Linked DNA regions of Drosophila melanogaster. The protein of the gene in region 2 purifies or fractionates together with the protein of the main gene of each other region. This does not show direct contact. Each region holds a gene or a part of one and is shown on either strand. Other genes may lie near its edges.

Region 1 (7,966 bases), on a different chromosome or scaffold from region 2:
TCTTGCTGGGACACAAGATTTTCCACAGCAGGTTGCAGTGGTTGAGCCTTTTGCCATAGTTTCTCGATCACTTTGTTTTGTTTGATAGTCTCCAAGAAGTTGGCGGGCAGTCCCCCCGATCCACTGTCAGCTGTCTCGTCCTCCATGTCGTAATCGGCCACGCTCTCAGACTCTGAATGCTCGCTATCTGTATCCCAGTTGCTCTGTTCATCGCTGGAGCCCAGGTTGGTTATAATCTCCGCTACCAGGCGCTGGGCATCTAGCAAGTGCTCGAGGTTCTTGAGTGCTACCTCGGCATCGCATTGGTTAGGTTTCGACTGATTGGCACTCTGTGTTTCCGTCATATCCTCTGTCTCCATGGAGATTTCCAGCACGGGGGCCTCGTTCTTCGACTTTGCATTTAGAATTTCGCTTTTGCAGCTTTGCAGCTGGGCCTGTGGATCTATGGAGAGTAGTTTGTCCAGACTGTTCAGGATTTCCCGAGTGTGGGCGGCCGCGCATGCGGGTACATTGCATAGGATACCAGCAGCTAAGGCGTTCAGGTAAAGCTGCGCGTGACTTTCTGTGGGAGCCACAAGAAGCTCAGGTAGTATTGTACTGCTGGCCAGGACGTTCCACGAGCTGGAGTTGTTCTCAGACACCACCAATACGAGTTGGGCCACTGAAATGGCAACTTCGAGTCCGAACTTTCTGTAGTCGAAGCCCAGCAGCAGGCTGGAAAGAAAGTTGGCCTGATTTAGTGCTTCTGTGGCGGTGGGCGAGCTCTCGCACAGATTTCGGAGCAGATGGATTGCTTGCTGGAAGGTGTCCGCATGCAGCTCGTTTTCGAATCCACCTTTTGTCAGATCATAGCTACGGACCAGAGTCAGCAGGGCGGTCAGTATGTCGTTCTCAACGAGGAAGTCGCACACCTCCGTGCCAAACACCGACAAATTCCGAAAGGCACCGGCCGCCGCATTCCGGATGGCGCTCTCCTTATCGCACAGCAGGGGGGCCGCAATCCGGACCAACTCGCTGTCGCGTATTTCGGGAACCTTCTCCTTTCGCAGCGCCAGCACGGCGAATGAGTGCAGTCCGTTCAGCTTCTCCTCCACGTTCGCCTGCTGCAGGTGAACGCAAATCGCCTCGATGGGTCCGCAGCCCTCCGCTTCGCCCGCTGATTCCACATCGATTTCCGCCGAGGTGTCCACGCCGGATGGCGTCCGTGTTTTTACTTTTCGAACTTTTCCCATTGCAACAAAACACAACTGCACGTGTTTACTAATGGGGCTGGAACAAAAGGCGGCGGCTTTTTGTGCTATCGATGTTTCCAGATAGTTGGCAGCATCGAACATTTGCCTACCCTTATCGATTTCATTTTATGCATTTCGCATTCAGTGATCACTGGTCACGTTAAGGAGCACAGGTATTCCATAAAAAACTTTTACAATAGCTACATGGATGTATTGTCTTTTATTTCCACCTCATAATTTAAAAAATATGTGGCACAAAACAGTATATGAGTCTTTTGCTGCACGTTGTCTTAAGAAATTTCCAATTTATTTATATAAATATTTATTTCTTACAAATTTATTTCTTTATATTCCTATACATATATGTATCTCTTCTTTTGTTGGAAAAATAAACGTGTATGATAATAACAAATTTTTTTTTCTGCTGACCGTTTAATTATTTGGTAGTTGAATCGTTGAGTTAAGCGATTCCTCTAGATGGTAACAAAATAGCGTGAGAGTGCTCCCAGGTCTAAAAAGAGTGGCATAATAGGCGAGTGACGATTAGATGCGCAAGGGAGAGAGAAGTTATTAGCAACGAGTGTTCTCGTTAACAGATTAGAGATAGTACCGAAACACTTCGATTTGAACTCTTGCCCCGATCGGGTCATGCTGAGCTAATTATAAAGCAGACTTTGAAAATACGATCAGATATATTCATATTTATTGCTAAGCAAAATGTAACTCTTTGTAAACGTGATAAAATAACGTCCCTTAGTAGCGGACTGGCAACGACATTCATGTGCTGCCACATAGCCTTTCTTATTCGATAATTCGATAAGTCGAGTAAACTGGATTGTATTCACATCTCTAGCGGCAGAAAAGTGTAGAAAATTTTCAGGGGTTTTTAAAACGAAAAGTAAGAGGTTGCGTACAGTTAGATTTGTGTGCCATGGATGCGAGCTTAGAGGAGAGCATGGATAGCGATGGCGCCAGTTCGCCGATTACCAAGACGGAGGCAACGGAATCTCCGCCAGAAGCGGGTCTCAATGGAAACGGCAGTGGTAGTGGTAGTACCAGCCAGGAGACCCCAAATTATGGCGTTGCTATACTCAAGGAAAAACCCAGCGAGGCCCATAGGTGCGTTGTCATGGAAAATCCGGTGTTTTAATGCTATAAAGTTGTTTTACCTTGACCCAATTACAGGAGCAAGCCCTTCAATGCGTTTAGTGGTCGTCCCATCGGGGAGCACACCGCCCAGCAGCAGGCGCTGCAGCAACAACAACTGCAGCAACAACAACAGCCACAGCAGCCGCAGCAACAAGCTCCTTCCGGAGCAAATGGAGTCACAGGACCCCCGGAAATCTGGGTGGAAACCAAGGCGGAGGACGGTCGCTCATATTATTACCATGCGGTAACTAGGGAAACCACTTGGTCTCGACCCGATGGCCCCGCTGTCAAGATAATGACCCAGGCAGAGGTGGAGGAGATGGCCAAGCGACCTGCCCAGGCCGCGAAAACGGAAGCCAAGGCAGGCGAGACGTCGGTCGAGATTCCGCCAGTGTCGTCACATCTTACCTCACAACCTCCGCCGCACCTGATGAGCCAGCCACCACCCAATGCGGCAGCACCGCTGCTTTCCCAGCCACCACCCAATGTACGGCAACAGCCACCACCAATGTTCCAGCCACCTGGAATGCAGGCGCCTCCTGGGTTCGGACAGCCGCCGTTTTGTATGCCACCTCCAACTTACGGATTTCCTGGAGGACCGGCACCAGCTGGGGCACCTTGGGGCGTGGGCATTCCGCCTTGGCAGCAACAGCAGCACATGCAAGACAAGCCAGCCAAGTCGCTAATCATTAAGCCGGGTGTTATCGATCCGGCGGTTATAGCGCGAGCAGCAGAGTGGTCAGAGCATCGTGCTCCCGATGGAAGACCGTACTATTTCCACGCCGGTCGAGGAGAGAGTGTCTGGGAGAAACCGCAGGCGCTGAGGGACATGGAGGCCGCTCGCATGGCTGCCCACTCGGGCGTTGCGCCCGCTGTGGCAACAGCTCCGTCGGGACTACCACCACACTTGCTACCCAACCCTATGATGCATATGCCACCAGGATCAGGGCCGCCGGGATTTGATCCGCATGCTGCTTTTGCGGCTGCTGCTGCAGCAATGAAAGCCAATTCGGAAAACACTAAGGCTGCACAGGCAGCTGCTTTGGAGAAAGAGGCTAAAAAGGCGGCGGAGGAGAAGCGAAAAAAGGAGGAGGAGCAGAAGAAGGCTGCGGCATCAGCCAAGCAAACGGACAAGAGTCGACCTGTGACAAGTACGCCCATCGCTGGAACGCCATGGTGTGTCGTATGGACTGGAGATTCCCGCGTCTTCTTTTACAATCCGTCAACTAGGACTTCGGTTTGGGATCGCCCCGAGGACTTGTTGAATCGTGAGGACGTTGACAAAGCGGTAAACGAACGTCCGGAGCAACTGAAGACTCCGCAAGAGAAGTCGGCTGAAGCCGAACAGAAGTCCGGCGAGGAAGCAAATCAAGAGCAGGCTAAATCGCAAGTTCAAGCCCAGCAACTGGATCAGGTGCAGAGGGTGGATGCGGATGATGATGACGACGACGAGGTTATCAAGATACGCACAGAGTCTGAGTCTAGTGTGGAAGAGGTGCCAACCAAACGAGTTCGAATGAGTAAGTTACGGGCGGTTGTGATCATATAAAGGATACCTGTCACACCTTTCGTATCATTAGTTTCCAAGTCGAAGCGGGCAGAGGATGCCGCCCTAGAGGCTGAGCAGCGGGCGGCCAAGGAGCGGGCCTTAGTACCACTAGAAATGCGCGTCACCCAATTCAAGGAAATGCTTCGAGAGAAGGACGTATCGGCTTTCAGCACTTGGGAGAAGGAGCTTCACAAGATCGTGTTCGACCCGCGGTATCTTCTGCTGACTTCGAAGGAACGCAAACAGGTATTTGAAAAGTATGTGAAGGATCGGGCCGAGGAGGAGCGTAAGGAGAAGCGGAACAAGATGCGCCAGAAGCGGGAGGACTTCCGCAGCCTAATGGAAGAAGCCAGGCTGCACGGAAAGTGAGTATTGCCGGCTATCATTTATGGTTATTAGGTTTTACGTAAGAGTGCCGAAAGGGTATACTAGATTCGTTGAATAGTATGTAACAGTAGAAGTAACCGTTTCCGACCCTATAAGGTATATTTATTCTTGAACAGGATCACTAAACGAGCTGCCCTTGACTTCGCCGCCGTTGGGATGTGAAGAGGTTTTCTTTGGCTTCCTTTTTCCTGGCTTATTACGTCTGGTGTTTCGCATAGGGGGCCCTAACCGACCTTGTAGGAGCTAAAGGTTTAATTTTGCTTTCCAAGTTGCTACTCATTAAGGTTGTCGACCAACCGGGAGTTTCGTGGTGGCTGTGGTTTGGTACCCATATCGCCTGTAATGTCGATCTTTGATTTACGGCGTAACGGGTGCGTAAAACTAGGGTGCTGTGACCTATAGATCAGCAGCAAGCGGTAAACCGGGTTGTTTACTTAGTGCACGGCAATATCTTCTTGTCCGGTAATCCCTTCGAGGTGGAACACAAATTCGGAGGGATCCGAGTCCCATTTTAGAGACGTAAACGCATCGCAAGTATGTTCTAGAAGATGTAGAAGATTTAGAAGATCCAACGCCCGGAAACCTCAAGAAGAAGTGACCCCACCACTTTTAAAAAATGCTTTGATTTTTTTATTTCTAAAATAGTGAAATATAATTTTCCCACTAGATGAGTAACGAGATGATGTTTTATTACTGGGTAGGATTGTAATCCTATATTTATTCGTATATTGTTCATGAAACGTTCTCGTTGATATTTTGAATTCCAAACTCTTTCAGATCCTCATTCTCGGAGTTTAGCCAGAGGAACGCCAAGGATGAACGGTATCGGGCCATCGAGAAGGTTCGCGAACGAGAGAGTCTCTTCAACGAGTACATCGTGGAGGTGCGGCGCCGCGAAAAGGAGGACAAGCTGTTGAAGAAAGAGCAGGTAGGCCTAGGGTATGCTGGAGCCCCTTACCCCATCACCTTACGTATCTTGATGTTTAAACATAAATGCATATCTTTATATATATATTTAATAACTTACCCGTATGCCAAACGTATTTACATAATGTGATTGATTTTCTGTTAACTCTTAAACCATAAACAACGTGTGAATCGAAACCGAAACAAACCAAACTGAAAATGAAACCGAATCCGAACCCTGACCGAATGCATTATCCCTCAATGTGTTGGGTTCCGGTGGTTTGCCACCCGATACCTTAGCCACTAGCTAGCAGGTTACAGCACAAATGCACCACCCAAAACACCAAAATACACAAGAGCAACAGCATCGAGAACCACCTGTACAACACTCTCGACGGTCTATTCCGCCCGCCGTCTGCCATCGCCGTCCACTGATCTACTTGACCACGCACATGTTTGCAATCTGTGTGGTGAGTTACTTGAAACATAACAAGCAAAAACATTTAAATTTGTTTTTCTGCAATAAGAGACAAATTTGGAAAAAAAAAAAACAATTATAAAACCAATATAAACAAAACTATCGAAAGGTTGCCAAACTGAAAATTACCTGATAATCGTTGGTGTGATTTCCACTTCCCGAACTACGCCCCACGTCGCCCCTCTCGGATGTTTTATGCGATGTGATGTGATGAAGAGGATGTTGCGATGATGTGATTGGCATTGGGATCATGATTGATGATGTTTGAAGTTCGCGATGGGCTCTCGGAGGGATGTCGCCGAGCAGGAAGCAGGCAGAAAGGGATTGTTCCAGAGATCCGGAGCGACTGCAGTTCGTGTGCAGGTGTCTGCGGCGCTAAGCAAACAGTATGAATAATACTTAATTTAATTAACCCACTATTTTCGTTTTGTTTACAAATAATGTACACACTCAGCAGTTTGTCACCTGACCGAGGCAAGCCGAAGGAACCGAACTCAGCCCCATCCCCACCTGCACAGACCAAAGACGAACGATATTCTAAAGCTATCTAAAGCCAAAATATCCAGATCTTTGCTCTGGCAGGTCTAGGCAGCGGCCCAAGTCGCTGGAAGGCTCTCTGCCCCATATTCTTACCATTTACCATATTTTTACTGTAGATCTATTGACTATTGTACCCTTCGGCCGTGCTGAAGTCTGAACATCAAGGCCTGCTTTTGTATAGAGAAATTAATGGGTTAGGTGGTCCGTTCGTTATAATTTTTGCTTTCTCCTCTGCATCTATAAAAAATGTTTGTAGCAAAAGATAACATAACAAATATTCGATCTGGCCGTGTCCGTCGACGAGATCTCTGAAACTAAAAAAGCTGGAAATTTGATATTAGTTTTGGATGATTTTTGTCGATGCCAAAACATGAAATTCGTAAAACTTGTACCCGTAATCCACTCAGATAGGTTAGGGATATCTGATAATGGAGGAAATCGACTTGATTTAAGATGTCCAAATTTGTTTTCTGTGTGTCGCTTGAGACAGACCCAAATTCTCTACGCCAGCAGGACTTGAATTAATCCAACGTTCTTTTCCAGTTAAGTCTGAAATCGCTAACCAAACCCGCTCTCTTTCAGGCACAAATCGTGTAACTATGTTCTATAGCTTAAGAAAAATAAGTCTAAGTCTTAAGTTAGGCAATTAAGCATAGAGTTTTAAGTGAAGCCGCAACAATTCGAGACCCCTCTAATTCGATCTGTTTGTCGCATTTCTCTTCTCTTCCGCATGGCTGTCATGTCAATATTACTTTCACAAACACTTTAAAACTCTAGATCCGCAAGGACTTTCTGGATATGCTGCGAGAGCGTCACGACATCGAGCGCCACACCAGGTGGTACGACATCAAAAAGAAGTTTGAGTCGGATCCACGCTACCGTATGGTGGACTCCATGTACCGGGAGGAGTACTTCGAGGATTACCTGCACATTATGAAGGAGGAGAAGCGAAAGGAGCGGGAGATGCGTGAGCAACGGGAACGGGAGCGACATCGCGAACTTAAATCTGATCGGAAGGAGAAGGACAAGGAAAAGGACAAGGGTCGGAAGGATCGAGGACGCAGCCGTTCGAAAGACAAGGACCGCGAGCACAAGTCATCCAAAGAAAAGGATAAAGACAAGGAGGAAAAAAGCAAGTCGGAGAAAAGCAAGAAACGAGATACCACCCCAGTGAGTCTATAATCGTTTTAAGCGTTTTAGATCGGTATTCTAATCAGCATATTTTAATTTTTTGCCTTTCATAGGAGGAGGGTGAACATCGTGAAGAGTCAGAAAGGGAAGAACGAGCCGGCAGCGACGACAGCGAGGTGGCTCGCCAACGGGAGAACGAGGCTGAGCAAAAGCAGAAGGAACGCGAGAAGAAGCTAAGGGTAGAGCAGAGTATAAGGGAACGAGAGAAGGAGGTGCAGCGAACCCTGGCCGGTCATTTGAGGGATCGGGACAAGGAGCGCGAGCATCACATGCGCGAGGAGTGCATTGGTCACTTTACCGCTTTGCTGACAGATCTGGTGCGAACGCCGGACTTCACGTGGAAGGAGGTCAAGCGACAATTGCGGAAGGATCATCGCTGGGAACTAATAGAAAGCCTTGATCGCGAGGATCGCGAGCGGTAAGGCATTAACATTGTTAAAAATTCTATTTATTTATATTCAATAAATTTAATATCGTTGCAGAAAATTCAACGAGCACATTGACAATCTGATGAAGAAGAAGAGGGAGCGATTC
Region 2 (7,560 bases):
TTATCAATATTACTGTATAAACCGGTGACTATCACTTGCCAACAAGTGGAGTTATATGTATGGATAAGTGTCCGTTCTGTGTAGCTTATTGTTTGCGGTGTACGGTGTATGGTGTGCTGCCCGCCTGTTCCGCCTGCCCCACCCGCTCCACCTGGTCCACCTGGTTCGCCTAGCTGATGTTCGTCGCGGCCACCGGGGTTCAACTGGTCCGCGGCTGGAGGCGCACGCGGAATCCCTCCTCACGCTTTAGGATGATGTCCGCCTGCAGTTTGAAGTCCGATTCGGTCAGGTCCGAGTAGACACGGTAGTTCCGCAAAATGGTCGACAGTAGGATCTTCAGCTTGAGCATCGCATACTTGCGCCCTAAAAAAATAATTATAATAAATGAAACAAAACATTATTCATATAGACGATCCGAATATTCACATAATTTGCTTCAGTGTTATATCTGCAACTCACCCACACAGCTGCGTGGTCCCGCAGAGAACGGCACAAAGGCGTAGTAGTGGCGATTGGCCTGGCGCTCCGGCAGGAAGTTGTCCGGATCGAAGACGTTGGGATTGGCGTAGACCTTCGGATTGCGATGGAGCAGGACGGTGGCCACCGTCACCGTGGCGCCCCTGGGAATCACGTAGTTGCCCGAGTTCAGCTTGAGATCCTCCTGCAGCTCGCGGGCGATCAATGGAACGGGTGGGTACATGCGCAGCGTCTCCATCAGACACCGCTCCAGATACTTCATCTCCAGTGTGTCCTGCAATCGGAATGCGGACATTTTAAGCGGTTAACGTTCAACATTCAAGAATATAACTAACTAACTATGGTGATGTGTGCGGCATTAGTTACCCACCTGAAATGTGGCCGGTCGCTGGGAGTCGCCAAAAATGGAGTCGAGTTCGGCCAGTACGCGATCCTGGATGTCCTGGTGGATGCCCATCAGCGAGAGAAAGAACGAGGAGCCGGCTGCCGTGGTGTCGTGTCCCTCGAACATGATCGTGTCCACCTGCTCCTTAATTTCCGTGTCCGTAATGAGTGCTCCATTCTGTGCACTTTCGAGCATCAAATCAAGGAAGGCCAGCCGCTTCTTCTCACCAATATCATTGTCCTCCACATCCAGGTCATCCTTGAGACCAGCCGACTGTCCATAGGACAGTCCCGCCACCGGACTGGCCTTCTCCTTATCCTTCTCCCGATCCTTCTCATCGCTGCCAGCTGTTGATGGGGTCTGGTCAACACCACCATTCTGTTCCCGTTCCCGCTCTAAGGCGGCTGCCTTCAGCTCGCACTGGGCAAGGGATCCACGGGTGCCCTGCTCAAAGGCCGCCTTCTTGCTGCGGATCACCTTGGTGGTCAGGCCGTGGATGATGTTCAGCAGGCGACCCTGCTCCTTGTAGTAGCGCGTCAGGGTGAACACGAACTCGTTGCGCAGAAAGATGCTCCGATGGCGGGCGTGAAGGATGTCGCACATCCGCATCACGGCCATCGCATACTCGAATCCCGATTTGTCCTGCGTTTTCTTCGACACACCCATCGCAGTCTCTGGAATTGCCAAAATGTAGCACCCAGAAAGGTGTGTATTTATACAAGTAGGTTTAGATTGTGATTATATTAAATAATAACTAAAAGGAAGTATAAGTATAACCTCAATATCCCATCACATTCGAATCGTACTTTTCCTTTCAGTGCAGAGACTCGTATCTGGATTTGAAGAGCAGATTGCGATCGAGATCGGATGCGAGGAGATCGGATAGAATGAGATGAGTTGGCAAGGGATGGCATGTGGATGTAGATGGGATGGACCCCCAGCACAAATGGGGGGAAGTGGAATGCACTCGCCTGACCCAAGCGCCAATTGAACTTAACAAACAGACAACAGGCGGCGGAGGTAGCCCCCGGATTCCCCGCCAGCTCACCATCCATCCACCGCCTGTCTAATTGTAGATACAATGCATAAATAGATCTATAGATGACAGCATAAACGAGCTTACGGACAAATCCGCTTCGTGTGTACAATCATGTGTGTTTTTGTGCTGTGGGAAAACTGCGAGCGTGGAATTTGGCATTTTTTTTTTTTTTTTTTTTTTTGATAAGTTCTCGATTGCCAATCACAGTGAATCACGGTCTATAACTGGAATTAAACTAAAGGAAAGTGACAGTGCAATCTGAAAACGATTTGAAAGATTCAAGTTGCAAATGAGATAGGTCAGTAAATTTGAATAGGTTCGTGTAAATAGCATATCTAAAAATTAAACTGCTAAATTTGAGTTTTGCTCGTGCGGAAAAGGAATACGAAAATCTGGCTTATGCAATGACACATTTGAGTTTTTCCTGTGGAAACTCGCCCGGATTTTCATTCGCATTTCGCTTGGCATTTGGGTTCGTTTCGTTGAGTTCTTAATTGCTAATTGCCCGTTTGCGTCAGACCCAGACCCCATACCCCAGACTAATAATCGCCGTGAACAACAACCTCAGTCGTTGCATTCAAATTTTCCTTATTAAATGCTTAATGGCAGTGCGACGTGGCTTTAATTGCACTACTGACTGCGAATCCCGCATTCGTTGCGTTGCATTTTCATTCGCTGCATTTCGGTTCGGTTTGGTTCGGTTCGGTTCGCCTCGGTTCCATCACATCACATTACATCGTATCCAATCCAATCCAATCCAATCCAAGGCAATTGAATTCTGCAATCTTGGCTGCATTTCAATTGTGCAGGGCTCGGATTATTATGCAATGGCCTACAAATCAATCCCAAATCGGCCGAGCACTACGAGCTCCACAATGTCATTAACATTGGCCACCAGCCAATTTTGTCTAGGCTCTTGCCGGTTTCACTTTTCACTCCAGGCCCAAAACGTGTCTGGCTTTAAGCGAATTGCCATCTGGGTGCCATTGGTATGATGATAAACAAGACCATTTGGGTGGGCCAAAACCTATAGGTATTACCTTAACCTGCATCTAGAAATATGAGGTTGTTTATTGCTGATAGAACTTGGATCTTTCAGATATCTCGGTGTAATATTCCCATTAAACTGAAACTGAAACTATTGTTAAGCTTCTATAAAGCTTAAATATGGAGGACATACAATATTTGTATATGCCATATGTTTTTGCTATAACTTTCAAATTCCCAAATAAATTTGTCCTACTTTGAGCTACAATAGTTATGTTTTGAATATGCTGTAAATTTACTCTATATAAGATATCGATTATCTTTTTAACTGATCTTCGATTGTTTGTTTTAACTTAGTAAGAACCCCTACTTATGGAATTTTCATAACCAAGCAACATGATCGTTTGGGGTACAAATCCAACCAGTTTGCATCAGTTTGGCATAATTCGGTTAAATCTGGGGGCTGGGATTTGAAATATATATATACATATATATATCTATATATATATATATCTTTATATGCAAAAGCACATGTATGTATATGCTCATTTGCTCCCATTGTGGGGCCACAACAAAAGCGGCAAATTTTTGATTTGCCAGTATATAGGGAAATGGGTCTGCACTCAATTGTGTGTGGCATACAATATAATGTGTCCATATCCACGGCGTTTCTAGCGGGGATTAGGTGGCTTGGGCGCACGCATATAACTGAAATGATGATGATGATGCTGGATTGTATGCTCATGGTATGCTATAGTATCGTATCGTACTGCGTGGTATGATGGTATGTCATGGAATGGTATGGGTATTTCGGATGATCGTTGCGATTGCGAGTGCGTGTGGGTTGACTGTACTTTAGTGTAATCATAGTATGGCTATCTCTATCCCCATATCCGTATATCGCACCTATCTGTATCTGTATATCTGTATATGAATGTATCTGTACATCCATCTATCTGTATATCTGTTCACTTACCCAATAGAATCTCCACGGTTGCCTCGCTCATGTAATCATGGCAATCAAAAGTGCGACCATCCTCCGCACGCAGTTTCCTCACCACATTACGCGAGTTCTCGTTGAACAACTCGATGAAGCTCTTCAAGACATTCAGATGGAATGTGGGTGCAATCAGTTTGCGGTGCGATCGCCATTTTTGACCTGCAACAATAGATGGAGCGGGAATGTAGAACCGATCGTACATACAAGATATTCTTACAAAAAAAAAAAAACCAAAAAAAAATTGGACATTACATTACAAATTTGTTCATGATTATCACTCAAGCTAATAAATAATAGTACTTTTTTCTTACATGTCTGTCTAAATTGAAAATCATCATGTGTAATATTATTTATCATATTATCATTTTGAACTTATTACATTTGAAATTGGTATATCTTCAGTGCAAACGACTGTGCATTTTTTTTCCGTGACTTTTCTGCGACGTTGATTTTATTTATAGCGGCATTGTTGTGCCAACTGTCAGGCTAGCGGATCGCTTAATTAATTTATGATTTCGCAAATTGCATTAGTGGCAAGTGGACACCACCCCTTAAATGTGGGAGGCTTTCCCCCTCAAAACCCCACCTCACCTGTGCTGATCAGCAGTCCGTCGCCCAGCCAGGGCTTGAAGAACTTGTACTCGGATGCCTTGTCGATGTAGACATGGCTGCTCAGCAGCAACTCCACGTCCCGCGGATCGTAGATGAAGACCACCAGCTTGGGCCCGATCCACATCTTGGCTATGTGCTCGAAAGGGGCGCTTTTGCGGATGACTGTTCGGAAAACAGCTGCGGGGATACACGGATTAATTTGGGGGATCAATTCAAAACCACGATTAATTTTTGAAAAGGATAATTAGTGCTCTAGTATGTGTTATATTTTAAAAGTCAGAAATAAGTTCTTTCTTAAAATAAAAAGGAGAAGAATTTTCATTTCACTATTATTCGGAAACTTTATTCCAAGTGACTAAAAACTAATAATCAATGTTTAAAATTTTGGAAAATGCATGATAATTACTTTTAAATCAGAATTAAAGTTTCGTTTGAAGTAGAACTTCAAATAAATGTGTGTACTTTCAGAAGTGTTTTAAAAAGATTTCAAACGAGTATTATATTTTAAGTTTCAAAAATGCTTTTCTTTAAGTTTAAAGTTTGTTCCAAATTGATTTCTCAATAGCAGCAGGATTTCTTTTGAAATGTATTGAAAATTAAATATTTTTATGTGATTTGAATTCAATTCGGAGTTTGCCTGATAATCCGTATTTAAAACTGGTTATCCTCGTTTTTTTTTTTTCACTGGCTGCTTAACCCTTATGCCTGCTAAGGGGCTATGTCGCACCCTTTCCCGCGAAAAAAATGGCACTTAGTCTAGTGGATTTACATGAAGCGGGTCCAATCACATCGAACAGATGACCCACGATGGGCAGTCCCCGTGGTCCCGGCAGTCGTCCGGCCAACCTGTACAGGTGAGCCCGCGATAATCGCCAGTAGATGTACCAAAGCACCAGCGTGGGCAGCAGCAGGAAGTAGAAGACGCTGCTGGGTGAGCCCAGGGCGGCGTCCTTCTTCAGCACCTCCATTGCTTGTCGGGATCCTCTTTCTCTTGCTCTCTCTCTCACACACTCTCCCCCTCTCTCTCACTCTCTCTCTCTCTCTCTCTGTTTCGATCGGTCAACAATGTTCACCAGGTCACAGAAAAAACACCAAAACAAAAAAGAAAACCAATCGATCGGCGCACGCACACTTCCCACACAGTACACACGGATCGATCAGCTATCCATGGGCTGGGTTGGATTGGGTTTTGCGGATCGGATCGGATCGGATCGGATAGGATCGTATCGGATCGGTGGACCGGATGTTACTCGCTGCTCGGCCAGCGCACAACTAAACGGTGACAGCCCCTCGCCGAGGCAACCAGCGCGAAATGATCGCGTATATCAACCCACACACAGGGGATGCGATGCGATGGAATGGGATGGGAACGGAGCGATGCGAAGAGGATCGGACCGGATCGGATGGCGGAGTTACGGACTCGGAATCGGCTGGATATGTGTATAAATTAGATACGTTGGACCCGCACTCGCACTCCTCGCGCCTCTTTTCCAGCGACTAGACAGCGGCGACGGTGCGAACGACTTTTATAGCCAACAATGTGCAGCATATGTGCACTGCGAACAAAAATTGTGCACTCAGCTCGCAAGCAAATGCGACGGCTTGTTAAAAGTTGCGCAATTACTAACTTAAATATTTAACAAAAATATTCTAGAATCCTTTTGTTGTTCAATTCATATGCATATATTTCCATGTGGCATACCCTTCGAATTTTTCATGATCTGAGCACGAATGGTGGCAACTTTTCTCACAGTGCTCGAGTAAATAACTGCGGTATGGAATTGGGGTGGTTCTCTGTAGAATTGGATCATGTGAATCGGAACTCAGGTCTTCTCTAAGCTCATCCCGGTGAAAGTTCCATTCGTCACGAGAATTGAGCTTCAAAACCGAGTGACGAAATTAGCCAAAGCTTTTGAGCAGAAAAACGAATGATCAAAGTGAAAAATCATTTCGATATGTATCTCTTGGGTTAAAAACGCTTGCAGATTGTTGAAGTCTTTTTCTTGGTTTATTTTTAAGATGACATTTATGCATGGTATGGACAAGAGTTACGATTAAGATTACGAATAACCTAAGCTACCTCATACGGTTAGAATTACTCAAAAAAAAAAAGATTTTCTATTACTATAGATATTAAATCACCTGCCGTGCTTTGCATGTGTGTGTGTCTGTGTGTGTGTGTGTGTGTGTGTGTGTGTAAGAGTGACCTCAGTACGTATGAGCAATATTATTGCCTAGACATTTGACTATATAATAGCTATAAGTACGGACACTAACTTATGGAAGTCTGGCAGTGCTACAGTAGCCAGTGTCCACTGTAACATGTGGTTTACGATCGGCAGCCTAACTACAATTGATATTTCGCTTGATATATGTATATATATATTTTTTTTTTGCTTTTCTGCCTGCTCGCCCAAAACTATGCAGCACTTTTTTCATCGATGGAAGCTCAATCTCGCTGTCTGGTTTCTATCCCTCCTTTCCGTCTAAACGGACGACTCGTATATGACGATCTGCAGGACCTTCGGCTTGTTGTTCTGCGCCTCCTTCACCTCCTTCAAAATGGCATTCGTGATGGCTTCCAGGGCCGCAATATCGGGACTGTGCTCATTCTTCTTACTATTCCATTTGGGCATGGACACCTGGTGGTAAACCTTCATTTAGTATCGTATGTTTGTGTTTATTTTGTGAGAATCATCATACCGTAAGCACCTTCTGCAGGGCTGTATAATCGAGGCCCGTGCCGGCTGTTTCGCCCAAGCGACGCAGAGTCTCCGCCATGGGACCAGATAGCTCCTGGAAAATAGTTAAATTTGGTAAATAATACAATAAAAATAGTGTATACTTGTAGAACCCACCTGCAGCTTGGCCCAACTGGTGGCATATTGCCTTCGCACCAGCTCAATGATGGTCGATGTCAGGGCCAGGCCAATAAGAATATACAATGTGCACAGTAGCATGTAGTTGGGTTTCTCTGAAGAGTATGGCAAAATGAAGTAAATACACACTTGGGTGCTCCAACAACCTACTTGGCACCAAATCACCGAATCCGATGGTTGT

What was found.
Region 1: the proteins of Cyp4g15 (region 2) and CG42724 purify together in Drosophila melanogaster (affinity purification with mass spectrometry, with the first as the bait; one large-scale study listed by BioGRID). This does not show direct contact.

The regions. Positions count from the first base shown.
Region 1 is NT_033777.3:6,362,283-6,370,248, reverse strand, and holds the start of CG42724 (uncharacterized protein), read left to right. Parts: upstream 1-1,960; 5' UTR 1,961-2,163; coding exon 2,164-2,351; intron 2,352-2,417; coding exon 2,418-3,901; intron 3,902-3,961; coding exon 3,962-4,295; coding exon of another isoform or gene 4,296-4,299; exon of another isoform or gene 4,300-4,990; intron 4,991-5,094; coding exon 5,095-5,245; coding exon of another isoform or gene 5,246-5,374; exon of another isoform or gene 5,375-5,523; coding exon of another isoform or gene 5,524-5,658; exon of another isoform or gene 5,659-7,018; coding exon 7,019-7,411; intron 7,412-7,485; coding exon 7,486-7,850; intron 7,851-7,914; coding exon 7,915-7,966. Other genes in the region: CG10286 (uncharacterized protein), read right to left, coding at 1-1,232.
Region 2 is NC_004354.4:11,475,501-11,483,060, reverse strand, and holds the start of Cyp4g15 (cytochrome P450 4g15), read right to left. Parts: upstream 6,004-7,560; 5' UTR 5,469-6,003; coding exon 5,270-5,468; intron 4,678-5,269; coding exon 4,480-4,677; intron 4,048-4,479; coding exon 3,865-4,047; intron 1,537-3,864; coding exon 848-1,536; intron 752-847; coding exon 460-751; intron 364-459; coding exon 200-363; 3' UTR 1-199. Other genes in the region: CG43155 (uncharacterized protein), read right to left, coding at 6,987-7,142, 7,204-7,296, 7,359-7,474, 7,530-7,560. UniProt on the Drosophila melanogaster protein: Probably involved in steroid hormones biosynthesis.